Drosophila melanogaster: one gene and its partners. Changing the gene in region 2 together with the main gene of any one other region gives a genetic interaction. Each region holds a gene or a part of one and is shown on either strand. Other genes may lie near its edges.

Region 1 (8,185 bases), on a different chromosome or scaffold from region 2:
TAACACCCCAGCGCCAGATTCCATATCCGGATCCCAACAATCCACCGGCCGGTGGAGCGGATGTGGGCGGTTTCGGAGCGGGACCAAATGCCAATGCCGTGCGCCTGCCACCGTTGGCCCACAGCATCAGCATCGATCCCTCCAGGGTGGCCAAGGTTCCACCAAGAACCAAATAGCATGTAGTTATCGCCAATTCAGGGCCTAGGCTAAGGAACTTCAAATTAATGTGTTCTATGGCGGGCTGGAAAATCAATTATTTTTCTATGTAAAACACTTAAGACACCTCACAAAATACAATCAGAAATGCGAATGATGGGGGGACGGGACCTCTAAAAAGTAAACCCAAGCGTTTCTTGACTTTAGGAGTCCAGTTTATTCAACAACAATTAACAGACAGAAACAAAATGCAGGTAAACTAACCGCTGTCATCGTTTACCAGGCCAGCGGAGTGCCGTCGTAGTTGACAAAACCGCCGTTCTGTTTCTCGCCCAGCTTGCTGATGGTCTGCACAATTTGTCCCGTGCTGGTGGGCACGTCCAAGGGGGCACTGGAGCCACCCATGTCGGTTTTCACCCAGCCAGGATGCAGACTGACGCACATGATGCGTTGCGGATACAGATCCACGCTCAACGACTTGGTGGCCGCATTCAAGGCCGACTTAGAGGTGCGATAGGCGTACATTCCGCCGTCCGTGTTGCCCTGGATGGAGCCAAGGATCGAGGACATGTTAATAATGGCGGCACGGCCCACGCCCATCGGCTGGGATTCGTTCGCTTTGGCTGCCTTCTTAAGGAGCGGCAGACACGCCTTGGCCAGCATGATGGGCACAACCGTGTTGGTCTGCAAGGTGTCGAGCAGCTCCTGCGATCGAACGGCCGTTATCCTGGCCGATTTGGGCGCTATGCCGGCATTGTTGAAGAGCACATTGAGGCCTTGGTCCTTGGTCACGCCCTCGATGTCGGCGACTAGCTTGTCATAGGCATCGAAATTTCTCAAATCTGCACGGAAAATATATTTATATGCGAGAGTGTTTAGCGGCTGGTAAAACATAATGCTTACCAATCTCAAGTATGTGTATGTTCGAGTGGTTCTTGGCTAGATCCTCCAGCTCCTGTGGGCCAAATTGGGAAAGACAAAATGTTTGAATAAGAAGCACATTATTAGTAAAAAAGCAGTTTATATATGAATAATTTTCCAGTTAAATTACTGTAATTTTTAGAGGCAAATTTGGTATTTCATGAGAGTTTAAATAGCGCGCCCAACGAGCGCGTTAGTGCCATAATAACCGATAGACGATAAGTGCTGCTGGTGTGACCGAACAATAGTCGGCCCAGCAATCGACAAGCCAATCGACGTCTCCCTTTCGCACGCTCGTACGAAAGTACAAAAGCTATTGCAAAAGTTGGCTCCGCTTATTCGTTTCGTGCTTTCGCGAGTGCCGAGAGCCGCTACAATACACGCTTAGCAGTTTTTACATTTCCGCTTCGACTACAACAACATTCACTACCCGCCGTTGATCCTTGTTTTCTGTCTGATTTACGTGGAGCACCTACCAACAAGCAACAAAATAATGGCGCCCGTGCAAGGTGAGTTTCACAGTTAATTCGATTCCAATTGAACCATTCAATTTATGCATGCCCATTTGGACGATTAAAAAGCGGTTTGTAGAAATAGTGGCTCTTGTGGATTGTTCGCGTAGCTTCTGTAGTTTCTGTAGCTCGACGGTTGTGAGTCACCGGTTTTGTTGGATTACTGGATTGTCTTAGTAGAGAGACAACGCAAAATAAGAAGAAAACATCTCTCACCTTTGCCTGCTCGCGATTCCGGCAGGTGGTAAATAGATGCTGCGGCGGCTGGGGAAGATTGAGCAGCGCCTTGACCAGGCCCAGACCCAATCCTCGATTGCAGCCGGTTATCAGGATGGAGTTCATGTTTTTTTTTTCCGAAGATCCGCGATCGAGTTGCTCGAAATCTTATCGCGTCGTACTTGAGATAAAACCAATAAAGGGCGGCACTACTATACGGGTTCCGTGTGTTCTGTGGATTTCACCAGACCCGCAGCCAGATCTTTCCGTGCTTATCAATCGACTTTATTGCCGTAACACAAGCGTGAAAATAGTGAAATGTTAGGAAAAATTTTGACGGCCGGCTGTTTCGTTCGGACAGCAGCAGTGTTACCAACCATCCGCGAGTTATCGATACACTTGCGCATTGCCAAACGTGCGTTTCGCACATTTCCAATTGGCAAAGGGCAGAACAACTGTTGTGATGTTCAAATCCCAAATGGAATTTCGCAATCCAATGGATGCTCCTTTATGGCAAATCCATTTTATCCCAAACATTCTCGTTTTTGCGGTACGCGCTCTTGCGCCCTCTCTCTTTCTCGCTGCTTCTGTTACGTAGCCGTTTATCGGCGCCTCTGCCTGCCCACCGCTTTCGCAGCATTCCCGGCCGAACCAGCGAACGTGTTTGTGTTGTGTGTTCCGCCGTCATTTTTCTGCACCCTTTTCGCGAATAGTTTCGTTTCGCCTCCAGCTGGTAGAGTGAAACGCCAAACGTTGAAGAAGGGGAAAGGCCAACAAGATGAACTTGTGCAATTCGAGATTCTCCGTTACGTTCGTGCGGCAGTGCTCGACGATTTTAACGTCTCCTTCGGCTGGCATTATACAAAACAGAGGCTCACTGACAACAAAGGTTCCCCATTGGATTTCCAGTAGTCTCAGCTGTGCCCATCACACGTTTCAGCGAACTATGAACTTGACGGGACAGCGAGGATCACGCGACAGTACTGGAGCTACCGGTGGGAATGCTCCAGCCGGATCCGGTGCCGGCGCACCACCACCCTTCCAGCATCCACATTGCGACAGGGCGGCCATGTACGCGCAACCGGTGCGAAAGATGAGCACCAAAGGAGGTGAGCATCGATATCGATTGATATTCTGATTAGATCTTTGCTGTTGCCGCCGCAGCTGCTGCTCCTGTTGCCGCCGGTTGGCAACGCGGTCGATTGTCGCGGTTTTCTTGCTTGTTGTTTTTTCTGGGTCTTCTTGTGTTTAACCGACGCCATTATGCAATAACCGTTAGTTGCCTGGCCAAAAAGTCCATTACTCTGCTCTTATTACCTGGCTTATCGGGTTTCTGCGGCACGTATTCGCCAAGGGTTTATATGCCTGCCCGGCATTTGCTGTCTCACATTTGCACCGTCATCGTCAATCGTCATCGCGCACCCGCTCCAACTGGAATTGTACAGTCGGGGTCGCGCGAACAGCACTCGAAACTCGTATCATGCTGAAGTACATGATTTGCGCCATCGTTGTGGGCGCCAAAAAGAGCACATCCTCTAAGTATAATGGTCAACAAAGTTCTGAATCGCGTATAAATACTATGTCAGTCGAATTTTTTTAATTGAATTATGGATTGCTCATAAAACCATTACTCAATTGCAGCTTAAACAATATCAGTTATTTGCCTCAAAAAAGAATTACATCATATGACTTAACGAATTAATAATATTTGTTAAATTACATTCATACAAGTCACTTGTATTGCCATTTTGCCTTTAGCTGGTAAAAAAAAACTAATATCTATTTATATGAAGTTAAACGTATTTGATGTTTTAATTTGTAATATAATATAAATCCCACATGCCACGATCAAGTTTTCTTGTTAAATGAATAATTAGCCAATCGAGCAGATACGAAGCTTCTAATTCCGAAAACAATAGAAGAATTTACTTATAAATATATGCCATATTCTGATTTCAAATGGTAATTAAGGGTATAATAGGATTTCTTAAAGCACCAACGTGATATGTGTGATTTTTGTCGAATGCGGTGCTCTTGAACGAATAACCCTTTGCGGAATGTTCGAGAATCGCTTTATGATGATGATGATGATGATTTCACCATATCAGTCGGGTGCATTTATTCCCTTTATCTGTGTTTTCTATTTCGTATCTCTCGTATCCGTCGCTCAACGAGCGCCCGCCATCGTCTTTGATCTTTCATCATCATTGCTGAGCTGCGTCATCACCACTTCATTCCGCAATTAATTGCAGTGTGACGACAACAATTGTTTATTTGCACTCGCATTCGTACGTAGCCACCTGATTTCCCCCTGTTCCTGGCCAGGATTAGCATTCCGTCCGATAAAAGCGAATTGTGTGTGGTGTTGCCAACTAGTTTTGGGGCGTAACCATGACAAAGTCCGGCGGGTCAAAGCAAACCGAATGGGGGGGCGTAGGTGGACGGACGGAAGAAAGGCGTGGCCGGGCTGGGATGGGCGTGGCTTGGTGTGTGGCGATGTCGCTAGATGATTGCTCCACTTTGATTCGAACTCCCACTGACCCAGTGGCATGTGTGGCATTCGGCAGCACTATCGCTACCTGGCAACTGAAGCCAAGGAGCTCGACGGGATTGCACGGTGCAGATTACGGATTGCAGGAGGCCAAACAGTCTTCGTTCCGCACTTCTTTGGTCTGGATGCATCTGTTCGAATTCATACCGGCTTCCCAGTTGGTCGAGGGTGAACCACGCCACCGGAGGAGCATCTACCGATCCGCCTATCTGGACATACGACTGCGCGAGGAGTCCACCAAAGGCAGGCGGGGATTAGCCATAATCATGAGTGAAGCTAAAGAGAAACTTGAGTAGTTGGCACCACATGGCTAATTGATATCATTACCTATCACTGATAAGGATTTTCAACTAATCTAGATACTGGTTAAGAACAAAAACAGACCATGCCAATACAACATGGCTATTGATGTTACTAACGGTGATAAGTTTTTAATAATACAAGGTGAATTGGCTGTGCTACGATTAGATTTCCTGACGGCTCCTCATGTTCTGTGACCTCTTGACCTCTTTAAGCCCAATTTTGGCAGTAGATTACATATTTCTATAGACAAAAGGCGATGAATCAAACGAAAACCTTTTTTCTCCTGCAGGATCCTACGACTACGACCTTATTGTGATTGGAGGCGGCTCAGCTGGCCTGGCCTGCGCCAAGGAGGCAGTCCTCAATGGAGCCCGTGTGGCCTGTCTGGATTTCGTTAAGCCCACGCCCACTCTGGGCACCAAGTGGGGCGTTGGCGGCACCTGCGTGAACGTGGGCTGCATTCCCAAGAAGCTGATGCACCAGGCCTCCCTTCTGGGCGAGGCTGTCCATGAGGCGGCCGCCTACGGCTGGAACGTGGACGAAAAGATCAAGCCAGACTGGCACAAGCTGGTGCAGTCCGTACAGAACCACATCAAGTCCGTCAACTGGGTGACCCGTGTGGATCTGCGCGACAAGTAAGTGTGACTATATCTATGGCTTCCGCTCGAGCATCCCCACTAATTATACCCTTCTATTTGCGCTCAGGAAAGTGGAGTACATCAATGGACTGGGCTCCTTCGTGGACTCGCACACACTGCTGGCCAAGCTGAAGAGCGGCGAGCGCACAATCACCGCCCAGACCTTCGTCATTGCCGTTGGCGGCCGACCACGTTATCCGGATATTCCCGGTGCTGTCGAGTATGGCATCACCAGCGATGATCTGTTCAGTTTGGACCGCGAGCCCGGCAAGACCCTGGTGGTGGGAGCTGGCTGTAAGTAGCTACTTTCATTTGCTTACATCAAATTGATGAATAACCCATTCGGTTTCTGCTCTTTCACTCAGACATTGGCTTGGAGTGCGCTGGATTCCTGAAGGGTCTCGGCTACGAGCCCACTGTGATGGTGCGTTCTATTGTGCTGCGTGGCTTCGACCAGCAGATGGCCGAGCTGGTGGCAGCCTCGATGGAGGAGCGTGGCATTCCCTTCCTCCGCAAGACGGTGCCGCTGTCCGTGGAAAAGCAGGATGATGGCAAGCTGCTCGTGAAGTACAAGAACGTGGAGACCGGCGAGGAGGCCGAGGATGTTTACGACACCGTTCTGTGGGCCATCGGCCGCAAGGGTCTGGTGGACGATCTGAACCTGCCCAATGCCGGCGTGACTGTGCAGAAGGACAAGATTCCAGTGGACTCCCAGGAGGCTACCAATGTGGCAAACATCTACGCTGTCGGCGATATCATCTATGGCAAGCCAGAGCTGACGCCCGTCGCCGTTTTGGCTGGCCGTTTGCTGGCCCGCCGCCTGTACGGAGGATCTACCCAGCGCATGGACTACAAGGATGTGGCCACCACCGTTTTCACGCCCCTGGAGTACGCCTGCGTCGGCCTGAGCGAGGAGGATGCCGTCAAGCAGTTCGGAGCCGATGAGATCGAGGTGTTCCACGGCTACTACAAGCCCACGGAGTTCTTCATTCCCCAGAAGAGCGTGCGCTACTGCTACTTGAAGGCTGTGGCCGAGCGCCATGGTGACCAGCGCGTCTATGGACTGCACTATATTGGCCCGGTGGCCGGTGAGGTTATCCAGGGATTCGCTGCCGCTTTGAAGTCTGGCCTGACTATTAACACGCTGATCAACACCGTGGGCATCCATCCCACTACCGCCGAAGAATTCACCCGGCTGGCCATCACCAAGCGCTCCGGACTGGACCCCACGCCGGCCAGCTGCTGCAGCTAAAGCGGGAACGCAGCTCAGCCGCCTGGGACGTGTCGAAGCCGCTTGCTCCACCCGAAATCCCGTAGATGAATGGTTGTTGTCGCGGCCCAGCGATCGATGAGTTCAATAGTTCCGTTTCGTTTCCACAATTAACACCCAACACAATAGCTCTGCGCAAGGGAGGGGCACTGGGCAGCGATGGCGGGTGGAACGACACCAGTGGAACTACCCGCGCGACCAGCCCAACCCACGACTGCTGCGCCGCCGACATGCACTCAAAATTTTGAATTTGTTTGAACCTATGAAATTAACTATGAAATCCCCTAAATGTACGGTTGAAGAATATAATTTTTCACCAACAAACCCCTCTGTGTTTCAGTTCTGTGCATTTCCTTTAAAACATACCTCGACCTTTAGCCCTTCCTCTGCCTTTTCAATCAAGTAAGTTCATTAGCCATGCAAATGGCTTGACTTGACCTGGCTAAATCGATTCTGTCTGCCAGCCTGACAACTTGTTAGCCACCCGACTAATTGCTAATGCCATTGCTAGGGGAATCTTTGCCCTCGAGGGCTATAAATCAGCTACGAACGATGGCACCCTGGAGATACATATATCAGTGGGTAATAAATTATACTTTAGTTTTCAAAGGAAAAACAGTGCGTGATAAAGTGTAATAGAAGCTACGAAAAGGTTGAAGTTTATGACCTAAGGAATCCTCGCAAGCAAATCAAAATCAAATTAAGACAGTAAATTGATGCAATCAATTAATGAACAGCAAAGAGAATTCAATAGCTTCTATAAGGAATTAGCATTAATCATATATGTATGTATGGAACACTTTCGAGGTGGTATCTCCGATTGGATGCCACGAAACAAAGCGAGATGGCTATACTATGAACCAAGCGACTTGGAATAGCCCAATATACCCATAGTGAAACCCAACCCATTGATAAGTCGCTGTTGTGATATTTTTTCTATTACATTTTTATTTTGGTTTTCCTATTTTTCGTATTGAATAACTCCTTTGTTTTGAACAACGTAAGACTTTTTCATTTACAACTGACGCAGCGCTGGCGCCTCTGCAGCCGCCGATCGTGCTCCTCATCCCGCTACTGCGCTGGCTCTTCCCGCGGCTCGTCCTGGTGTCTTTGTGTCCGTTAATTAGTGGGCGAGTGCGGCGCGAAAGGACGAAGGGCAGAGTTTAAAAAAAAACATTAATTAGTTATTAGTTTAGATCAGACGCGAGAGTGGGCGCCTAGATAGCCACACTCTGCTTGGCCTCGTTCTCCCGCTGCTGCTTGTTGACCGCCGATATGCACTTGGCCATGGTGGGCGAGGCGCGCGAAATGGCGTCGGTCATGAAGTAGTCGCGCAGCTCCTTTAGCTTAATATCGATGGCGCCACCGCCGATGGATTTGCTCTGCAAACAAACAAACAGTAATAAATTACAACTTTCAATGGAGCATAATTTCAACTTACAATAGTGCCCGCTGCTCCGGCATCGCCGGCTGGCTCCAATTGGCCCAGGCGCGTTAGATGTGGCGCCACATCCTCCAGACGGTTGCGCAGCTCGTCCAGGTTGTCGTACGGCAGCGGCTTGCCCACCACCTCGGACAGAGCGCGCAGGATCTTCCAGTCCTCGCGAGCCATACCCGG
Region 2 (9,167 bases):
TGGCCTGCAGTATGGCCTTCCACCTGCCGGTTAGTACTCCGCCCAACGCTTTGGTTGCTGGCTATGCCAACATTAGGACGAAGGACATGGCCATTGCTGGAATCGGTCCGACCATCATTACCATCATCACCCTGTTTGTTTTCTGCCAAACCTGGGGCCTGGTCGTCTATCCGAACCTTAACTCGTTCCCCGAATGGGCTCAGATTTATGCCGCGGCAGCACTGGGAAACAAGACGCACTAGATAGTTAGTAATTAGTGTAAATAACTAACATACCCGTCACAGCGATAAAGTTGAGGAAAATTTAGGGAATTTTAAACGAAAAGTGCCTTTGCTGACAGCGAAAAATGTGAAAAATATTTAACTATGTATACTTGCATTTCAGAGTTGCGAAAAGTTTTGATACAAAAGCATTACCTACTGTTTAGAAAAATGTGTTAAAAAAAAAACGTATCGCAATATACTGTTAATCAGGAATTGAACACCTGGTCTACGCACTCAGCTAAATATTTAAATACAAATTAATGTTACTTAATTGTTGCATTTAGCATAAAAATGGAAAAGATTTGGAAAAGTTAGAACAGTTTGTTCAATGGCAGCCCTGGCCTGCTAATATTTTAAATAACTAGACTGAGAGAACTTACATATTCATACATGTTTTTCAACTTGTAAAAATTTTTAAATGAACAACTCACTCAATACTTCATTGCGAACCAAAATGAACACACAAATAGCGGTAGGCTAAGCTTAAATGATACTGTGTACATTTTCAGATGATTTATGTTTTATATAGTTTGTAAAAAATATTAAATAATAAAAAGCTCAAACGACAATAATACTATACGTTTGTTTATTTCAATAACTTATTTTGTTTGATGTTCAAAGCGCGCCATGCATTTCGTATAACGATAACTCGAATTAATCGATAACTCGCCCTGCTAGGGATGCGCGATTCACTGAAAAGGTTTAAGACTCACTGGCACAGTTTTACATCTACTGGACACTTGTAGCTGAAATTTCAATTCATCAAATAAAATACATATTTTTACAAAATTACGGAGAAATAAAACATTTTACTCATAGGAGATAATGGTAATAAAAATATCATTACAAAAAGTATTAAATTGATGTATATTTCATAGGAACAAATTTGATTAAGATTAAGTTCAATCATTCGAAGTAGTAATTTCTCAGGGTACCGAAGAAATATTTAAATGGGAATTAAGAGCTCGACTATAAGTGACCCAAAAAATTAAAGAATCTCCAAACAGTTATATCAAAAAATAAAGAATTTATTATATATTCATTGCATATACATATACATTGTAAGTGTAATTTGTTTATGACTTAAACAATTTTGAATATCAAAACAAGACAAGACACATTTCGTGGTTAAATCAATTTAAGCCCGCAACCAAAGATCCGAAAAGCGTTCGCCTTTCTTAGTCAATTTCGGAATGGGTGGTGTTGGTGGTGGTGGTGTTGGTGTTGGAATAATTAGTTCCATTGGATTAATCGTAATTAAGGCCAAAAACCAAGTCTGATCCGTCGAATCCGCTCGCTCAGCTTAGAACTTCGAGGACTTGGCCAGGTTGAGTTCCTCGGTCAGCATGCGACCGAAATCGGCGTGCACCTGGGTGAAGTTCTTGACGGCCCGCTCCTGCAAGAACTGGCTGGCGTTGCTCAAATGGCCGGCAATGTTCTGCACCAGACGCTTCTTGGCGCACTTGTCGAGCACATGCACCCAGAAGTCGGTGACCTGGCCGAAGTTGTCCTCGGTGTCGCCGCTGCTGTAGCGGTAGACATCTCCAGTCACCGGACAGCAGGAGGACAAGGCCCTGGCCCTGGGGCATTCCTGGGGACCGTTGAACGAGTTGGGGAAGTAGTTGGGGGCACCATCCTGGTTGTCCGTCACATTCATGGCTCCATCCCGCTGGAAGTTCTCAATCTTCACCTTGTACGGGCAGTTCACCGGGATCTGCAAGTAGTTCGGTCCCAGGCGATGGCGATGGGTGTCCGAGTAGGAGAACAGACGACCATGCAGCATCTTGTCCGGAGAGGGCTCAACGCCGGGCACCAGGTGAGCGGGACTGAAGGCGATCTGCTCCACCTGAGGGTCAGAAAATTACCATATTAGTTATCTTTCTTTTGATTGCATTAATCTCAAATGAAGAAGAATCTATTTGAAACAAAAAAAAAAAACGAACCTCAGCAAAGTAGTTCTTGGGATTGCGATCCAGCACCATTTTGCCCACAGGAATCAGAGGGTACTCCTTCTGCGACCAGACCTTGGTGACATCGAAGGGGTTGTACTTGAACTTCTTGGCCTGCTCGTAGGTCATGACCTGAATGTACATCGTCCAACTGGGGAACTTGCAGGTCTTGATCCTGTTGTACAGATCGCGAATGCTGTAATCCGGATCAGTGCTAGCCAACTGATCGGCGGTCTTCACGTCCAGATTCTTGATGCCCTGGTCCGTCTTGAAGTGGAACTTGGCATAGATGGGCTCGCCCTTGGCGTTGATCAATTTGAAGGTGTGCGAGCCATAGCCGTTCATGTGGCAGTAACCGTCGGGGGTGCCGCGATCGCTGAACAGGATGCACACCTGGTGAGCGGACTCCGGTCGCAGGGTGAGGAAGTCCCAGAACATGTCCGGATCCTTCAGATGCGTCTGCGGGTTGCGCTTCTGGGTGTGAATGAAGCTGGGGAATAGGATCGGGTCGCGAATGAAGAAGACCGGCGTGTTGTTGCCAACCAAATCCCAGACGCCATCCTCAGTGTAGAACTTGACGGCAAATCCTCGAGGATCGCGGGCGGTGTCCGCAGATCCGCTCTCACCACCCACGGTGGAGAATCGCACGGCCAGTGGAGTGCGCTTCTTGACCTTGTCGAAAATCTTGGCGGCACAATACTGGGTGATGTCATGGGTCACCTCAAAGTAACCAAAAGCACCAGCTCCCTTGGCGTGCACGACACGCTCTGGAATCCGCTCCCTGTCGAAGTGCGACATCTCATCCAGGAAGTTCACATCCTGCAGCAGGATAGGTCCTCGCGGACCAACCGTCTGGGAGGCATCCTTGATTCCAATGGGTGCTCCATTGCCGGTGGTAATGGCACCAGGAGAAACCTGCAAAAGCAAATGAAAGTCAAGTTTAATCAAATGTATTTTAATTTTAAAATGCTATGCAACATTCAGCAACAATATATTGGTTCAAGTGTCTTACAATCTTATCGGGCCTATTGCGATAATTCATTTTTGGCCCGCGGACTTTCATTTAATCATTCGATTTTCACCAAAAGAAAAAAACATTAACATAAAGATTGCAGAGCGTTATCTCTACACGGGGGGTCATTTTGCAGTGCATATAAATTTAAAATAAGAGATCCCAGGTGTTCTTAAGAGCTTGAGGCCTTAATATAGTGATGATGTATGGGTTTTTTGCATTAACATGTCAAGATATCAAATCCGTGTGCAAGGAAAAAACCAATTAAATGAAAGTATTCAAACATCAAAATGATGTTACACAGTTTATTAGCTGGCGATCAATTAATTATTTCATTCCATTAAGCTAATAAAAGTGTATTGTCCATCTGAAATATCAATTAGCCCACCAGCTGTCCTGTCATTTATCAGTCGATCTAATCATACTCCTTGTTTTCAATTCATTTCCCTAGAGTAATCCGAGACCGCTCCTTAATCACCTTATCGTTTATTTCGCATGCAGGCCAGCCACTCATTATAAAATTAACTCAGCCAACAATTTGCAAAACTGTCACCGGCCAATGCGCACTGTTTAGCTAATGTATTTGAAACCTGAACAACGCCATGCGAAATTCTAATTCGAAAGCATTTCTAGAACAATGCATATAGAATTTTATACAGAAGGTTGTTTATCAAAGTGAAGCCACCGGTGGTGGTGGTGGTGGTGTGTCAAACATATAAATTAAGCTACTGTTTATATTTCACAACAAAGTCATTTAGATACATATAGCACTTGGGTTGGGATTACCCGGTTGGGCACTAAGACTTTTACAATTGTTTAAGGAATTAGTAGTTGACTTTATCAAATCTTAGTTCCTAGAAGTATATATGTATCTATTTAATAATAAAATCAGCTTAGACAGGCCAGTAGTATACCCACTTATTGACAAACAAAAAGCGCTACATAAAAACGAAGAAATGAATATAATTTCGAAATTATCATTCTGGAATTTATACTGGAGTCACCCTTTAGATTCGGCCGATTCAGCCGGAATGTTTTGCACTTTGAGACATTAATATGGGGCCACTTCAGGGGGCAGATACGATAAGTGAAGCAAACCGGGAATGACAATGCGAGTGGAACCGCTGGAACTGCGATCCACGTCCAACAAGTCAATCTGGTTCCTATCAGAGCCTTCGTTCTTATATATGTATGTATGTATTTGGTTGTAGATATCTCCAGCGAAGAGCAAACTGATAAGAGAACCGCAACCGATCTCGAATAGAAATGCAAAGAACACAGTCTACAGGAAAGTTTTTAATTGCAACTTGTTGGCGATGCCAATGACACAAAGATGGCAAACAGCAACTTAATGAGGCGGCTTTATAAGATCAGTGCACCTGATAGTATGAGATAAATTTGCCTTCTAGACATAATTTATCAGCAGAAGGTTACTCATTCGAGAATGAGAATGCATAGAAAATAAGCTAAAGGATTTTAAATAAGGATTTTTATAGGGTTCTTAACCGACTCACAATGACCTTACGCAATATGCATTGCGTTGCAAAATATTCCAAGTATTTTCCTTGCATTTTCGAATTTCTTGGATAACAAATTAACTCGATTGCGAGATTCCCAAAAGAACAAAGAACCCAGTTGCCATGATTATTCACCGAAACAAAGGCAAACATTTAATTGCCTGACAGAATGCAGTTTTCACAGTTTCGTCATAGAAGGTCAAAATCGACTAAAACAACACGAACCAACCAACCAACTGTGGAGCTAGCTCTCTTTTCTGGGTCAGTTCGAAACATATTCTCACATACAGTCGCTTTTAGCCGGGCGTTCCAGCCAGGTTGCATAACCAAATTGGAGAAAGAAAATTTGCGTTGACTTATGGCACTGGCACACGCATTTTCCGAAGCGGTCTAGCCTTCCGCACTCAACCCAAAACGGGTTTAAAGCCGGGTTCGTTGTCACTCGAATCACTCGCAGTCGATGCGCATTGCAACCAGTTTGTGCAACATTGAGCCGGTCGCCGCAGAGTCCATTGACTCCCAACGAATTTTCCAACTTACAAGCGGTGCAATCCAGCGATCGCGTTTCTCAAAAAGTTCATATCTATATTTGTTTATATAAAATAATGACCGCTGATTGCTTTTAGTTAGTGGAGTAATTGGCTTCGTGACTCAATGCACAAATGCACTTAAATCGCTGATGCGAGAACTAAGTTCTAGATTTAGCCTTAATTGAATAGGGTAAAAAAAAGGTATACTAAATTAAAAAACAAAAAATGATTGTATTCTTTGAGAACTGACAATTCATACTTACAAAGTATCGAAATCCAATGGAAATTTACTTTAGTTACTAACCAAATGTGGGCACTCAACAATATCTATACGGCTGATACATCTAATCTATTTGGGCCAATTACTTAGCTGTTTTGGATGCCTATCAACTGGCTGACAAATAGCTATGCAGAATTATTATTTCATTTATCGATTTTTAGAGGGCATTGGGAAAACCACAGGGAAATTGCCGAGTAAATTATATATAGATACAGTATCTATGGGTGAGGCTTACTATTGATTTTGTTATATTTCATTCCTTTTTATAAAATGTAACAGCATATTTGATTTCAAAAATGATTGCAGTGTATAAAATGTTGCAATTGTGGAATGCCACGAATTTAGGAAAGTACAATTTTCCGAGTGTGAACAAACAATATTTGTTCAAAATTTTAAGAGGGCACGATTCCACAATTGAAATCATGCATTTAATCTAAACCAAAAGCGAAAGCGAATAATTAACACAAAAGTGCAAACGAACAAATTCGAATACTCAAATCCAATGCACAATGCAAGTGCCAAATGAAATTGGAAGTGCTAAGTGAAAACAGCGCTGAAAAATGAAAATAGACTAAGGTAAGAGGTCGCCCAAGGTTAGAAAATAGGTTAGCTAGACTAAACTTTGGATTTCCTTAAGAAGGAAAATAAAAATAAAAGGGAAAATAAAATTAACTTTGGATTAGGTACAGAAAACACAAATCCAATAAGAATTGCCACACTGATAAGGTTTATCAGTTCACTTCTGATAAGATTTCTACAAATAAATAGAAGACCCAGAGAGGCGGCTTTTGAACTTCGAACTCTGGGGAAACGACTTCATCATTACTGGCATTTGTTGGACAAGCCTTTGTTGTTTTTCGCATTTTAATAATTAATGGAATTAATGGAAAGTACAGGCTCATAGCAATCGTTACTGAAATTGTCTTGTTTTTTGTTTATTTCATTTCGTACAATGCTTCTCCCTTCTCTTTTTGTCTTTTTTGCCTTTCTTGTTTTCTTATTTTCCTGCCGGCACACACACGCACACACATGCAGTTGCGCTCTCTCGCGCTCGCACACCAACACACTCACCGTTTGGGAGTTTTTGTAGTCAATCAACTGATTGGAAGCCGCATCGCGTCCAGCCATTTTGCTTAAAATTTAGGATATTTGCTCAACGGGATAACCAGAATTTAGAAACACTCGAACTGGAAAGTTGTTGATTTCTAGCCGCCTTCGGTTTTTTGCTGTGACTGCGTCGAGAATTCTGTCAACTAAAGCAACTGCAGCGCAGTTCCATTTGTTTTTATAGCCCAGCACCACGTACTTGTTGTTGCTCAGGGTTGTCGAGTGGGCCGAAGATATCGATATTTCGATTATAGTTGGAAATATATCGCTTAAATATTACATAATATCCATTATTATTCATATTTGTATTTAAATAGTATGAAATTCATTTTCAAAGTTTTTTTTTTGCACTGTCCATTTAAAAACGTGTCCCAACACCATTAAGATTTATTATTGATAATTTATAGTACCTTCGCTCCATTTGCTGCCCAGAAAGGTGAATAAATTTAAACTGTTTGTTAAGTTATTTATTTTTTTAATTTCATGAAAATGTCGGCATCATTAAGTTATAAACTAAGTCGGCTATCTATTGGTGCTCCTGCCAAATAAATATCTATGGCCTCTTTTTTTCTTAAGTTGTGAACCTCTTCCAGTGGTGCCTTTAAAATAAATGTACTTCATTCATATAATATATGTAAATATCATTAAACATGTTAAAATTATAAACTTCAAGGAAATCTCCAAATGGCGGCTATCTTTCTGTGGCTCCTGCCAAGCTAACATCTCTGTCTTTCTTTATTTTAGCGTACAAAAATATCTAATTAAATGAAACTTAGAAACTAGCATCAACTAGCATATGTATCTTGTTCTCTAGTCACAACTTAAAAAAATCACCTAACCACCTGTGGTTCCCATCAAGTAAATATCCATGGACTGCTTGTCCAGGACGGTCGGGCGCCTCTTTGGAATCGGCTGAATGTGCGGCAGTCGCGTGCCATTCACGGCGTTCAAACTGAGATTCGAGTTGGGGTCGTAGTCGTCGCAATCCGGAGTAGTCTGGGCCAAGCTCAGCCTCTGCGATGGTTTCACCATTAGGTTTGCCCTCGCAAGCTGGCGTTTTTGGATCGCTGCAGCGCTGGTAGTGGGCACATTGTCTGAATCTTGACTTAAGCTTCTGTGGGAGCACAGCTCTTCATCGGGAGTCACAATGCCCCCCTCACTGTATGAGGCACCGAATTCGGAACTTTGGCCAGAGACATGCAAAGAGGGCGCACTTTGGTGCGACGATGACTGACTGCCGCTGACGTCCGTAATGCTCGCGGCAGTCTCCCTGGCCATCTTGTGCCGTTTGGCATTGTCGTTCTTCTTCCGGTAGAGTCGCACCAGGTCCGTGTAGCACTTGCAGCAGATGAGGTTGCCCGCCCGAATTTCGCTGTTCAGCAAACAGGCGAAGCGCACCAAATATTTGTTGTTCAGTTGGCGATACGGCTTCCGCAGCGTGTGGTTGCCGACTGCGCAGAATCTCCGCTCAACGCGCGAGCCCTCGTCAATGGAGGCCATCTGGAATAGATCATGCACCTAGTTCTCCACAACTCGGGCTTACAAAACAATGCTTACACTGGCATTTTAACTTCCAAACGCAACAAAACGAAACATGAAGCCAATTGTCCCGCCACTTTGGAAACATATAGTGTGACCACATATGGATTGCTGAAATATACCAAAATTAGGCGTAAAATAAAATGCATTTAACTAATAAACAAATTCAATTTTTTTAAATGTTATAAAATCTAAAAACATACTGACATGGTCACAGTTTCTCACAATTTAAATGTGGCTTATTGTAATGCCAGTTAAGTAATTAATATGAAGAAACTATTCGTTTAAAATTGACAATAATCTAATTATTGGCGTGTTCGATGTTCATGAAATACTTATGTTATATCAGTTAGTTTGAAAATTGACTGTATTTCTTCTGTTGGTTGTATCAATTAAAATGAGTTTAAAAACACATTTTTTAAAACCCTAAAACCACATTCAAATCAAACTGTAATTATACCAACTAATACTGAAAATACCGAAAACTGCAAAATCAGCTGCTCGCCGAACAGCACTCAGCGTGCTGTTGGACGCGAAATGTTAGCCCATTAAACCCAGGTTATTTTTTGTCATTCATTGTTCATACGTTCGTCTCGTCTGATTTTCTTTTTATAAAAACACAATTAAAATTTCAAACGAATACACATAATTTTTATAAATATAATGTAGTGCAACACGTATATGTATAATATAGCTTAATACCAAGTGCAATCCCTCGAAAGATAACTTCAAATGGCAATCTAATTTACGTAAAGAGAAGAGACAAAAAAAGAAACGGCGCGTGTGAAATTTTTTCAAGCAAAGCAAAGGAGAGAAGTTGGAGCAACAAAAAAAAGAGGAGAGAAAAAATACAGCAACAACACACAAAGTAGGCCAACAACAACAGCAAGAAAAAAGCAAGCAAGCGGCAACAACCACAGCAACAACAATAACAACGTCGAGCGAAAGAAGCAAAAACCTTGTAATTGTG
Region 3 (7,016 bases), on a different chromosome or scaffold from region 2:
CGCGAACGGTCGTGGTTGTCCCATGGCTTTGAGGCTTGGACCTGTGCCTTTGATCGTTGGTCACCGCACATTCTGTACAGTGGTGGCGACGATATGCTGCTCATGGCCCACGATCTGCGCACCAAGCAGCGTGCGTGGACCAACCGGGCGCACATGGCTGGAGTCACCTGTCTGCTAAGTCATCCGCGGCACGAAAACCATCTGCTCACGGGTAGCTATGATGAGCAGTTGCGTCTCTTCGACACCAGATCGATGAAGCGATCACTGGCGGAACTGGACTTGAGCGGAGGCATCTGGAGGCTGAAGCCGCATCCTGCCCAGCCCGATCTCATCCTGGCCGCCTGCATGTACACCAACTTTAGCGTGGTGCAGCTGGATGTCGCGGCACCTGGCCTGAGTTTACTGGGCGCCTATGAGGAGCATAAGAGCATCTGCTACGGGGCCGATTGGGCACCATGGAGAAACAAGGACGATGCGTCCTTGACCATGGCCACTTGCTCCTTTTATGATCACACGTTGTGTGTGAGTCGCGTGGATATTAACAAATGAATTCGATATCTGTATATTATGTTATGTGACTAAAAACTAAAAGAAAAATAAACATTTGCTGGCTTATGTTTTTCAACTATCTATAGTTTGTATAATAGTTTGCGGAAAAAACAGAATTGTTCATGGCATTTGGGATATCCTAAGTTTTCCAAAACTAATTTTAAACTGCCAACATCCCTGGCAGGCGATATCGATAACGCATGCAATCGGCTCAGCCCTGGTGCGGTTATCGTAAGTTCTGTCAGCGCATTTTCATTCGAAGTTTGCGAATTCAGAGAAGTGAATGAACTTGAACTGTTTAGTTATGGTAAGTACTAAACGTAGAGATCCTGCTAACTTTATAAACTCCTCATTCTACTCCGCACAGCATCCCCCACAAAATCCAAACAAGTTGGACGCCGAGGATAGCCTGGATCAGGCTATAGACAACATCGAAGACTCAAACGAGGCCAATCTCTATAAGCTTATCGAGCTGGAGGAGCAGAATGTGGCCTGGGAGAAACATCTTGCGGAACTCCAAATTATGATCAGGCAGGTGATGGAAAAGCTCGACAGGAGTTTGGTCAAACAGGAGGCGCTGGTGGCGAAAATGCAGAAGCTGAAGAATCAGAAAGATCAGGAGGGTCAATAATTATTGTACCGGAGGCGTGCTTTTGGCGTTAATTTTGATTTCATTTATAAATACATATGTAAAATATAGGTATCACACGCTTTTCCATTTGATTTTCTCAGAGTAACAAGTAGAAGGCTTTTCTCCTACGCCACCACATTCTGGATCCAGTTGAGGGCGCCGCGAATGCGACGCAGCCGGGCGCGTGCCAGAAAGCTGCATATGAGCAGGTACTCCACATAGGCGCGCCTATTGCCACAGCTGGCCACTGGCATCAATCCGGCGCCCATCTGTGGACGACCCTCGCACATAATCTTAGTGGTCAGCGAAAGGAGCCACTGTAGGATCTGTAAAAAAAAATCATAATTAGCTTAAAAGGATGCTGATGTGGTATCAAACACTGCGACCCACCTCCGGACTGTTGGGCATGCCGCCCGCCTTAAGCCAATTGGATGGGGCCCAGAGGAACAGCTGCACCACATTTGCCGCAATATCCGGACTGACCCGCTTGGACGGGTTGGGATTGAGGATGTTGTAGACCAGCTGTTGCAGCAGCGGCGGGCAAGCATCGCTCATTGGCGGCAATTGGTCCTGTCGGTAATCGCTGTTCCTCAGCGAAAGCGTCATCTCACCGCGTTCGCGCGCCATCCCACCGCTGCTCGAATAGAACGGATTGCGGTTGCCAAAGATTTCGTAAGCCAGGGCACCGCAAGCCCACAGATCGGCCTTGCCATAATTGAGTACGGCAAACGGACCGGGCATCGTATTGAAGATCTCTGGCGCCATCAACGCCGCATTGCCGCCCTTGTCGACGTCGTGCGAAACGTACGGCAGGCGCAGGCCATGCACCTTGTCCGCCAGACAACAGCCAAAGTCGGAGAGCACTAGCACCGGCGCCGCATCGTCCTGCAGCTCGATTAGCACATTATCAGACTTTAGGTCACGATGGGCAACGCCGTGACGGCTCAAATGGTTGACAGCCTCGAGCATTTGAGCCAGCAGCAGGATGCGATTGCGCGTGCTCAGATCCTGGCTATCGAGCAGGCCGCGAAGACTGTGATCGTAGCGTTTCATCAGCAGATACAGCGACATATTGCGGCCATAGCCCTGTGGATTGATGCGTTGCGGCTGCGCCACCGGATACAGGAGATGGCCATCGGGAAAGTTGCGCACCTCGTCGCAAAAGAAGCCAAACATACAGACAATGTTCGGATGCCGCGGCAGGTGAACAGTTTGATTCTGCAGCAAACGTTCCCACTCATCGGCGGCCTCATTCATGCCGCGCTGGCGTGCCGGTACCGTCTCCTTGTACATGGCACGCAGTATGGACAGAGCGTTGCTCTGGATGTCGTAGTTGAACATCATTTTGAGTGCCAGTGGATAACTGTCCACAGAGCTGTTGATGTTTGAATTCGCTGGAGAAGTCTGCAAGTTAAAGCAAAGAGCGTGATGGCAAGTTGCCATGCAGATTTAAGCTTACATATTTACCACATTGAAGGCACTGCTGCTGGGCTCCTGGTTCTGATGCTGCTCTTGTTCCTGATTCTGATGCTGCTGTTGCTCGTGGTGCCGCTGGTCCTGTTCCCTCGACTGGGCGCCCACGAAATCACTGGCCGCAGATGGCTGGCTGTAGTGGAAGACGTTGTCCACAGAGCCGCCAAAGTTGTGAACAAAGCGCGACATGTTCTGCAGCGGCGACATCATCTCGTGGGTACTCCAGCTATTCGGCGCAAAGGCTGGCGTTGCCTGCGGCTGCGCATCGGTATGCAGGGATGCACCATCCGAGGCAACATCTTTCTTGAAATCCGCTGCATAGACGACAGCGGCACAACCTTTGGCTATGGGCGGACCGATTTCCAAGTCATCGATGGTGAACTTGCTGTCTAGCGTATCGGAGATCTCGTCGTGATTCCAGGCGTTCTGCAGCCGGCTAGCTGCCTCCCGAATCTCCCAGCACACGCCCTCCAGTTCATCCTCCTTGCTGAGCACACCCGATCCGGAGGCCAGACTAACGCCAATCAGGGCGAAGAAGGGCGCTGAATCGCCAAAGAATAGCTTGCGGGTAGCGCGCTGGCGCAGATCCTCCGAGTAGGTGGTGGTCACCCGGCTGAGGATGTTGTCGATGAACAATTTGCGCGCATGCTGGCCCACTCGGAAGATTCCACTGCTGCTGGTGGGGCTACTGCCGCTGCCATTAAACGGTGATCCCGACGGGGAGTTGATGGTGCGGGGCACTACATTGACCACCGATTTGGCCGCCTGCTGGGGCGTTGTCTGGCGAAGAGATTGGATGCGGGTTAATTGGACATGCCTTGATCATCCGTTTAGCTTGACTTACCCGCAGCACATTGGCAGCGGTGGAGGGTAGGGGAAAGCCTCGCTTGCTTCTTGTCTTCAATTGATTCTGGTCCAAAATGTTGGCGTGTATATCACGTTTACAATAGCTGCGCAAAATGTAGCGACCATGTTTGATCAGTCGCACGGTCAGCAGTCTCACAGACATCTTTCGGCCCGCAAAGACCTCGGCTCCTAGTGCCTGCAACTGAATGAAGCACCTTAAACGGTCTGTCATCTATTAATTTAATTTTTAATTTTTACCTATTCTTTAAGATTTGTGGTGCTTAACTCTTGCTGCTGCTTCCTCTTCTTCTCCGCCAATTTTGCTCATGTGTGCGATCGATAGCGCCGATTTATAACCAAACAGCTGCTGTCGTTTCGTTTCGGTTCGGTTCGTTTCGATTCGATTGTTTTGTTTTTGCGTCGCAAATAAATTTTCTGTTTGTGGGTGGTGGTGGTTGTGGTGCAGCTGCGGGGCGAAGTGTGGGGGCGGTGGTGGCAGAACTACAAGGCGAAATCGTCGAATCGAAAGGGTTTATTTTTGCAATGATTATCCAAAGATATATCGCCTTTTTCGATATCTGTGTGGGCTAGACTGATTTTGGGCTATTTTCAACTGAACAAAACGATTAATTTACGACCTCCAACTTGCCTGGCAGCCAATTTTTAATGTAATGCGCCTACTTCAACGTTTCGTTTCGATTCGATTTGGTCGTTAGATAATCGCTGGTCAGCTGGATCTTTTCATTTGTCACGGAAAATGTGCGCCGCAATAAACACTTGTTTAAAAGCTTGCTTTGCTTATATTTCGCTATAAAATAATAGCTAAGTGTGCAAGAATTTACGATAAAAACAACGGAATAATTTAGAAACAGCAAGGCGTTAGTGTGACCACACTTACGGTATATCTTTAGAATCGATAATGACTATCGCGTAGTGTGGACTCGAATCATTTGGAGAATTCAAAAACTAAAAACCGTTATTCACCTGCCGTAAAATCAACAAATTAATACAATCTATTGAAATATCCTGCTACACACAAAAATTTATTACACGAAACTAAAACAAAATCGTCAATAGCCGCACAGCGAATCACTTCGGTCCCAGCATCTCCTTGGGATTGACCCACTCCTTGAACTGCTCTTCGGTAATTCCGGTCTTCAGTGCCTCCTCCTTCAAGGTCGTCTTATTCTTGTGCGCCGTCTTGGCGATCAGGGCGGCCTTGTCATAGCCAATGTGCGGATTCAGCGCGGTCACCAGCATCAAGGACTCGTTCATGATCTTGTCGATCCTCTCCTTGTTGGCCTGCAGTCCCTCCACGCAGTTCTTGCTGAAGGTCATGCTGCCATCAGCTGGGAGGAGAAGGTTATGTATGCATGTTTTTCCACTTGGAAAACACATTTCCGACTCACCCAACAAGCGAATGGAGCGCAGCACATTGGACACGACCAGGGGTTTGAATACATTTAGCTCGAAGTGCCCGTTGGAGCCGCCGATGGTCACCGCCACCTGATTGCCCATCACCTGGGCACACAGCATGGTCATTGATTCGCATTGCGTGGGATTCACCTTGCCGGGCATGATGGAGCTACCGGGCTCGTTCTCCGGCAGCATTAGTTCGCCCAGACCGCAACGCGGACCCGATCCCAGCAATCGGATATCGTTGGCGATCTTCATCAGGCTGACGGCGATCGTGTTGAGCACACCATGCACCTCCACCATGGCATCGCGGGCAGCCAGTGCCTCGAACTTGTTGGGCGCCGACACGAAGGGCAAGCAGGTTAGCTCCGAAATGCGCTTGGCCACCTTCTCGGCGAATCCCTTGCGTGTGTTCAGACCCGTACCCACAGCAGTGCCGCCCAGAGCCAGCTCATAGACGCGCGGCAGACAGCCCTTGATCCTTTCCAGACCGTTGGTCAACTGCTGTGTATAACCGCTGAATTCCTGGCCCAAAGTCAGCGGAACTGCGTCCATCAAGTGGGTGCGTCCGATCTTGATGATGTCCTTGAACTCATCCGACTTGGACTTGAGGGCATCCCTCAAGTGTGTAACCGCCGGAACAAGCCGCTCGTTCAGCTCCATGCCCACCGAAATGTGAATGGCCGTGGGGAAGGTGTCGTTGGAGCTCTGCGACTTGTTCACATGATCGTTGGGATGCACCGGCTTCTTGCTGCCCAGTTCGCCGCCCATCATCTTAATGGCCGCATTGCTGATCACCTAGTAGGTTTGCCAATGGCATGGGGCAGGAGAAGCATCCAGCTATACACATTTCTCTCGTTAGCCCTATCTAACAATCTTACCTCGTTGGTGTTCATATTGGTCTGGGTGCCCGAACCGGTTTGCCAGATGACCAATGGGAAGTGACCCTGTTTGTATAGCTTGCCGGAAATGACATCGTCGCAGGCGCAGGATACGGCATCCGACACCTTGCCATCTAGTCCGTAATCCTTGTTGACCTCGGCACATGCCTTCTTCAGTATGCCCATGGCCTGGATCACCGGCATCTGCGGGCAGTTTGGGGATTAATTGGCTATGGCAAAGCACTTGGTAGATGCCAGAATATGTTGGTTGGTTGGTTGGTTGCCTACCGGCATACGTTCGCCTATGTCGCCAATGGGAAAATTCAATTTGGAGCGCATCGTCTGTGCGCCGTACAGCTTGTCCGCCGGCACCTTTAGCTCCCCGAAGGTGTCCTTCTCCGTACGAAACTTGCCATTCTCCTTGCCCTTGCCGCCCTTACCGCCACTGTCGCACTGCAAAGATGCCCCATGTAGCCATGAGTTGCCAGCGACCATTGTCGCGTACTTACATCCTTGGCACGGAGGCCACTGCAAACCACCCAGAGATTGCGCCTAGCCAGATGCAGACCATTGTTTTGCTTCAGCATTTTCAATTATTATTGGTTCTGTGTTTCCGAGCGATTCATATACAACAAAACGATCTGATCTAGAAAATCACACTGCGATTCCGATGACAGCGATGATTGAATGATGGATTTCGTCGTCGGCCTACTTGGCTCCACTTCACTTGGGTCCCAGCATCTGTTCGGGTCGCACCCAGTCGTTGAACTGCTGCTCCGTCAGGTAACCCAAATTGATGGCCTCCTCCTTGAGTGTGGTGCCATTCTTGTGCGCCGTCTTTGCAATTTTCGCAGCCTTGTCGTAACCAATGTGCGGATTCAGAGCGGTCACCAGCATGAGCGACTCGTTCATGATCTTGGCAATATTCTCGCGGTTCGCCTGGATGCCATTCACACAGTTGGCAGTGAAGGTCCTGCTGCCATCAGCTACAAAAAGGAATAGATTCGATTGATTTGGCGTTCCACCAAGGGTGGGTAATAGGTAGCTTACACAATAGCCGAATGGAGCGCAGCACATTGGACACGATCAGGGGCTTGAATACATTCAGCTCGAAGTGCCCATTGGATCCACCGATGGTCACCGCCACCTGATTGCCCATCACCTGGGCGGAGAGCATTGTCAGCGACTCGCATTGCGTGGGATTCACCTTGCCGGGCATG
Region 4 (4,738 bases), on a different chromosome or scaffold from region 2:
AGGTAAAGCTCGGACTGCAAAATAATCCGTCGCCCGATGACATGGGCATCGATCTGGACGAGCTGATGAAGGAGGTGGAGCATCAGCTGCACAAGGAGTCCGTCGATATTGTGAATAAACCTACGGGAGCACCGGCCAAGGTACAAGCCGCCGATACAGTCGGTGGCAGCACTGGCTTGGAATCGCTAACAGATTCAGATCTCCAGACCCTACTCCAGAACTTTAAGTTTTTGTCGAACGAGGAGCAGGTTCATCTCATTGGCCATCTGCGCAAGTTGGAGGTACAGGATCCGTCGCGCGTCGATCGTCTGCGCAAGTATGTGAATCTGGTGGAGCTCCGAGGCGATGGCGAGTCCTGCAGTGATTTCCTGGCGCGCGTGGTGAAAATTGGTGGGGCTAGCAAGGCGAAACCGGCTACCAAGTTCAAGGCTTCGGTTATGGGTGGTAGAACCTCCTCCGCCATGGCCGCCAGCTCCGCCAGTGCCACGGCTCCGAAAGTGGGTCACTCCATGCTGAGCGCTCAGCGCCCCAATTTGGATCGTGATATGTCCAGTATGCCCATCAATAAGCAGAGACGCGGCCGGAACACGCCCAGTATCATGCTCGATGACGATGACGAGGAAGATGATGATTACAACTTTGATGATTTGGTGATGAAGGCCTGCGATTCGAATGGAAGTGCTAGTGCTGGTGGTGGTGGTGGTGTCGTTGGTGCTGGTGTACACAATAAGCCAGGAGTGCCGCCCATTATAGGCGTTGAATCATCGCCAAATGCGCTCACTTTCAAGCCAGCAGCAGCGACCAAGATTTCGCTAAAAGACACCGAGAACATCATAGCCAATCTAATGGGCACTTTAAGCAAGAATGGCACTTCTGGAGGTTCACCCGTGGGTGGCAATCGCAACTATATGATGAACCAGCAGCATGGAGCGCCAAATGCGCAGAATGCACCGAATTTGGGTCAGAATCCAGGCCAAAATCTTGGCCAAAAGCAGCCCGGAGCGGGCTATTCCAATGCGGGCTATCCAGGGCAACAGCAGCAGCAGCAGCAGCAGCAGCAGCATGGCCGCAACTTTGGCCAGGAGGCACAGCCACTGATGAGCGGCTTGAGCGGCGGACCGAATGCCAATCACTATCCAAATCAGCAGGGCTACGGCGGCTATCATCCGTTTGCGGGCAATGGCGTGCAGCAGAACTACGGCGGCATGGTGCCACCAGGTCCAGGTGGCTACGTGGGTCCGCCCCCTAATCCGTGGGCCAGCAATGTGCCGCCACAGCCGCCCTTCAACCAGATGCCCCAGAACTTTATGGGTGCCCAGCAGCAGCAGCAGCAGCAGCAGCCGCACTTTAACAACATGTTCGGTGGACGTCACTAGAGTGTCGTAGACTTAGATATCCATACTATTAACGTTATGCAATTTAAACGTAATGTAGAAACGAGAATAACGCCCTTTGAAGTGCCCGTGTATCTGCTAGCTGGCAAGTGATTTTTATTATTTTTTTTTTTACCATACATGTGTGCTGCTGCCAAAAAAAAGAAAAGAAAATAATCACTACCTTCATTTGTTTATAAAACACCGAACAACAATAGAATTCAGAAAACATAAATCTGAAGAGCACGTGAATAAACATACACAATAATTCCGGAAATCAACTTTAATCGACTTTCGTTTGGAATTATTAGCTGGGGGAGCTTTGAGTTCTGAATTCTGTGTATTGAAATAAAAATAAACGAAATGGAACGTACAAGTGACAAATAATAAAATAAAATAAAATATGTATAGCTACATATGATGTTCTTCAATGGTGATTTGATTATTATTATTTGATTTATACATTAAACAACTGATTTTTAAGTTTATTCCTCTCAAAAACAACAAATTTAAACTTCGAAACCAAAACTAATCGTACATAAATGAATAAGCGAATGCAAAGCATTTATACCAGAAGCTAAGCTTCACAGCTCCAGGGAAGTATAAGTATATACCTTTGCTCATCCGCAGCAGCAGCAGTTCCATGTATATCGAGTGACCACTGTGCCAACAGATGAAGAACAATAAATATATCAAAATCGAACGTTTCAACCGACTTTTTATGGAGGAGAATTTAAACTAATCACGGAATTAACTACAGTAGGGCAGGCGTAGGAAGTCCACGGACTGTGACTTCAGTATGCCGGGTATCTCCTGCTGCAACAGTTCGTGCAGCGACTGACCACTGTGCTTGTAGATCCATCTGCCCGCCGCCACAGTGCCGACGAAATCGTATCGCTTGGGACCGCTGGTGGGCGAACTGAGCCAGATCTGCTTGTTGGGCGTCTGCCGGTTGATCACATAGGTGCCGTGTTGTCCTCCCAGGTTCACGGTTAGCACGCCATCCTGTGGAAGCGGAAACCCCGCGAGGATTAGCAGGTCAATGGAATGATGTAATAGCCGAATGTCACCTACGCTGTAAGCCACATCCGTGCCCTGCAGCTCGGAGGCGTTCTCCGTCAGCTCCTCGAAGTAGTCGCACAGTGCGTCCAGGGTGTCGGAGCACACACGCTCGTAGGTGGCGCCGTCCAATGTGGATTCCGTCTCAATTTGACTGCTAAACAATCGCCGGTTGGCAGTGAATTCCTCGCATTGAATAGCAACTGCGGCTATCGCTGGTGTGCTGGGCAGGATCACTTGGCTGGCGTGTGCTTGGGGCTTTGACCACCTGCCCATGGTGGCCAAGCATGCCCGACCAACGATCGAACGGACCATCAAACGACCGGCAAACATTTTTTAGTTGTTTACGATTTGTTTATATTTTACAAATCCCAGTTGCGGGGCTGCCAACTTAATGGAAAATGATTTGCCGTTGGTATTTTCTAGATTCTAGTGTGGTATAATTTTTGATTTCTATAAAGCTGAATAAAAATGAGAAGTTACAGATTTTTTTTATTAGTAGCAGCAATTCAGCTAAAGTGTTCTGCTAGTTTTAGGTAACTAAAATTTTGTATATTCTCTAGCAGTTACTATTTCCTTATCATATATATTCCGCTATATATACCAATTCCCGGCTTATATGATTTTTCTTAGAATCAGATACGGCCACACCTCCACCAACGCCGACAGAAAATGGCGTCTGTCTGAAAATTGTTATTTCTCTTGGAAAATCCATACAAATTTGACCAGCGAATTGCACAAAGATGGCCCTGCCAAGCAACTACAAGCAGATAGCCGTTGGCGGCCAGGGATCGGCCACACCACTCCAGGGCGGCGGCGGTGGCTCCGGCGGCGGCAGCCGGTCGCGTTCATCCGGCGGCGGAGGTGGTGGCGATCGCAACAAGGATCAGACGCCCATCTTCACGCACAGCAACTATGGGAATCCGGCATTCACGCCACAGAAGGTAACCAAGTCGTCGAGCAGCAAGAACCAGAACGAATCAAGGCTACCCAAGCCACCAAAGCCGCCGGAGAAGCCCATTTTGCCCTACATGCGGTATTCGAAACGCGTCTGGGATAGCGTCAAGGCGAAGCATCCAGAGCTGAAGCTGTGGGAGCTGGGTAAGAAGATCGGTGCCATGTGGAAGTTGCTGCCCGAGGATGAGAAGACGGAGTTCATTGACGAATACGAGGCGGAGAAGCTGGAGTACGAGAAATCGCTAAAGGCCTACCACCAGACGCCCGCCTATCAGGCCTACATGTCGGCCAAGAGCAAGGTGAAGACCGACGTGGATATGCATGAGACACCGTCACGCGGTGGCGGCAGTAAGTCGCAGCATGAGCGACGCATCGACATTCAGCCGGCGGAGGACGAGGATGACCAGGACGAAGGGTATACGACCAAGCACTTGGCCTACGCCCGCTATCTGCACAACCATCGCCTGATTAACGAGATATTCTCGGAGGCCGTTGTACCAGATGTGCGTTCAGTGGTGACCACCACGCGGATGCAGGTGCTCAAGCGGCAGGTCAGCTCGTTGACGATGCACCAGACCAAACTTGAGGCGGAACTGCAGCAGATGGAGGAGAAGTTCGAGGCCAAGAAGCAGCGCATGGTGGAGTCCAGCGAAGCCTTCCAGGAGGAGCTAAAGCGCCACTGCAAGCCGGCGGTCGACGAGGAAACTTTCCAGAAGATGGTGCTTCGCATGTACGAGGACATCAAGCGCGATCGCCAGCGATTGGATGAACCGAATGCGAATGCGAATAGCGCAGCGAATCCTGCTGCAGCTGCCGCTACAGCTGCCGCCGCTCCAGTGACGAGGAGCGAGGAGGCAGTGAAGCCGCCAACGCAGCCAGGTCAGCCCGCTGCCACACCCGCTGGCCAAGAGCCGGCGTCGGCGGTACCAGCGCCAGCAGCTCCGCCCAAGGAGACACCGCCGGCTGTGAAGCCCGCTACACTCAATCCCACACCGAGTTCAACGCCTACGCCGGCGCCAGCGGTGCACGTGCACGAAACTGCCAGCAAAACGGATCCCGAGCCCATGGACATTGAGCCACCGCCGAAGCCATCGGTTCCGCCGCCACCCATCAAGCCAGAGAAGCTGGAGATGGCCGCTGCCCTGCCTCCGCAGTCAACGCTAGTCGAGCCACCCAAAACGGAACCCGCCAAAGTGGTGGCCCAGCCCGGCAAGGTGCCCACACCGGTGCCGACACCCACACCGCCGCCTGAGGTGGCTCCAGCGGCCGGAGCAGCTACTGCAGCGACCACAACAACGACGACGACACCAACGCCACCGCCGGTGCCACAACAGGTGCCACTGCCGCAG

What was found.
Region 1: of Cat (region 2) and Trxr1, changing one enhances a phenotype caused by changing the other (phenotypic enhancement), as found in Drosophila melanogaster (one study listed by BioGRID).
Region 3: of Cat (region 2) and Pink1, changing one suppresses a phenotype caused by changing the other (phenotypic suppression), as found in Drosophila melanogaster (one study listed by BioGRID).
Region 4: of Cat (region 2) and fh, changing one suppresses a phenotype caused by changing the other (phenotypic suppression), as found in Drosophila melanogaster (2 studies listed by BioGRID).

The regions. Positions count from the first base shown.
Region 1 is NC_004354.4:8,241,146-8,249,330, forward strand, and holds Trxr1 (thioredoxin reductase 1), read left to right. Parts: upstream 1-2,436; 5' UTR 2,437-2,583; coding exon 2,584-2,914; intron 2,915-3,043; exon of another isoform or gene 3,044-3,285; coding exon of another isoform or gene 3,286-3,352; intron 3,353-4,242; exon of another isoform or gene 4,243-4,481; coding exon of another isoform or gene 4,482-4,599; intron 4,600-4,948; coding exon 4,949-5,294; intron 5,295-5,364; coding exon 5,365-5,591; intron 5,592-5,662; coding exon 5,663-6,549; 3' UTR 6,550-6,888; downstream 6,889-8,185. Other genes in the region: CG2147 (uncharacterized protein), read left to right, coding at 1-176; sni (sniffer), read right to left, coding at 433-998, 1,060-1,111, 1,806-1,931; ND-75 (NADH dehydrogenase (ubiquinone) 75 kDa subunit), read right to left, coding at 7,785-7,949, 8,009-8,185. UniProt on the Drosophila melanogaster protein: Thioredoxin system is a major player in glutathione metabolism, due to the demonstrated absence of a glutathione reductase.
Region 2 is NT_037436.4:18,820,298-18,829,464, reverse strand, and holds Cat (catalase), read right to left. Parts: upstream 6,862-9,167; 5' UTR 6,680-6,861; coding exon 6,623-6,679; intron 3,128-6,622; coding exon 2,207-3,127; intron 2,110-2,206; coding exon 1,567-2,109; 3' UTR 1,277-1,566; downstream 1-1,276. Other genes in the region: Indy (I'm not dead yet), read left to right, coding at 1-242; HipHop (HP1-HOAP-interacting protein), read right to left, coding at 7,493-8,158. UniProt on the Drosophila melanogaster protein: Catalyzes the degradation of hydrogen peroxide (H(2)O(2)) generated by peroxisomal oxidases to water and oxygen, thereby protecting cells from the toxic effects of hydrogen peroxide.
Region 3 is NC_004354.4:6,681,203-6,688,218, reverse strand, and holds Pink1 (PTEN-induced putative kinase 1), read right to left. Parts: upstream 4,379-7,016; 5' UTR 4,149-4,378; exon of another isoform or gene 4,092-4,148; 5' UTR 3,758-4,091; intron 3,702-3,757; 5' UTR 3,663-3,701; coding exon 3,498-3,662; intron 3,434-3,497; coding exon 2,648-3,433; intron 2,585-2,647; coding exon 1,571-2,584; intron 1,507-1,570; coding exon 1,306-1,506; 3' UTR 1,181-1,305; downstream 1-1,180. Other genes in the region: CG3184 (uncharacterized protein), read left to right, coding at 1-549; CG44303 (uncharacterized protein), read left to right, coding at 854-856, 917-1,180; Fum2 (fumarase 2), read right to left, coding at 4,589-4,848, 4,909-5,713, 5,797-6,000, 6,085-6,249, 6,306-6,383; Fum1 (fumarase 1), read right to left, coding at 6,520-6,782, 6,847-7,016.
Region 4 is NC_004354.4:9,146,248-9,150,985, forward strand, and holds fh (frataxin), read right to left. Parts: upstream 2,825-4,738; 5' UTR 2,766-2,824; coding exon 2,448-2,765; intron 2,379-2,447; coding exon 2,124-2,378; 3' UTR 1,833-2,123; downstream 1-1,832. Other genes in the region: CG7065 (uncharacterized protein), read left to right, coding at 1-1,376; Bap111 (brahma associated protein 111kD), read left to right, coding at 3,176-4,738. UniProt on the Drosophila melanogaster protein: Promotes the biosynthesis of heme as well as the assembly and repair of iron-sulfur clusters by delivering Fe(2+) to proteins involved in these pathways.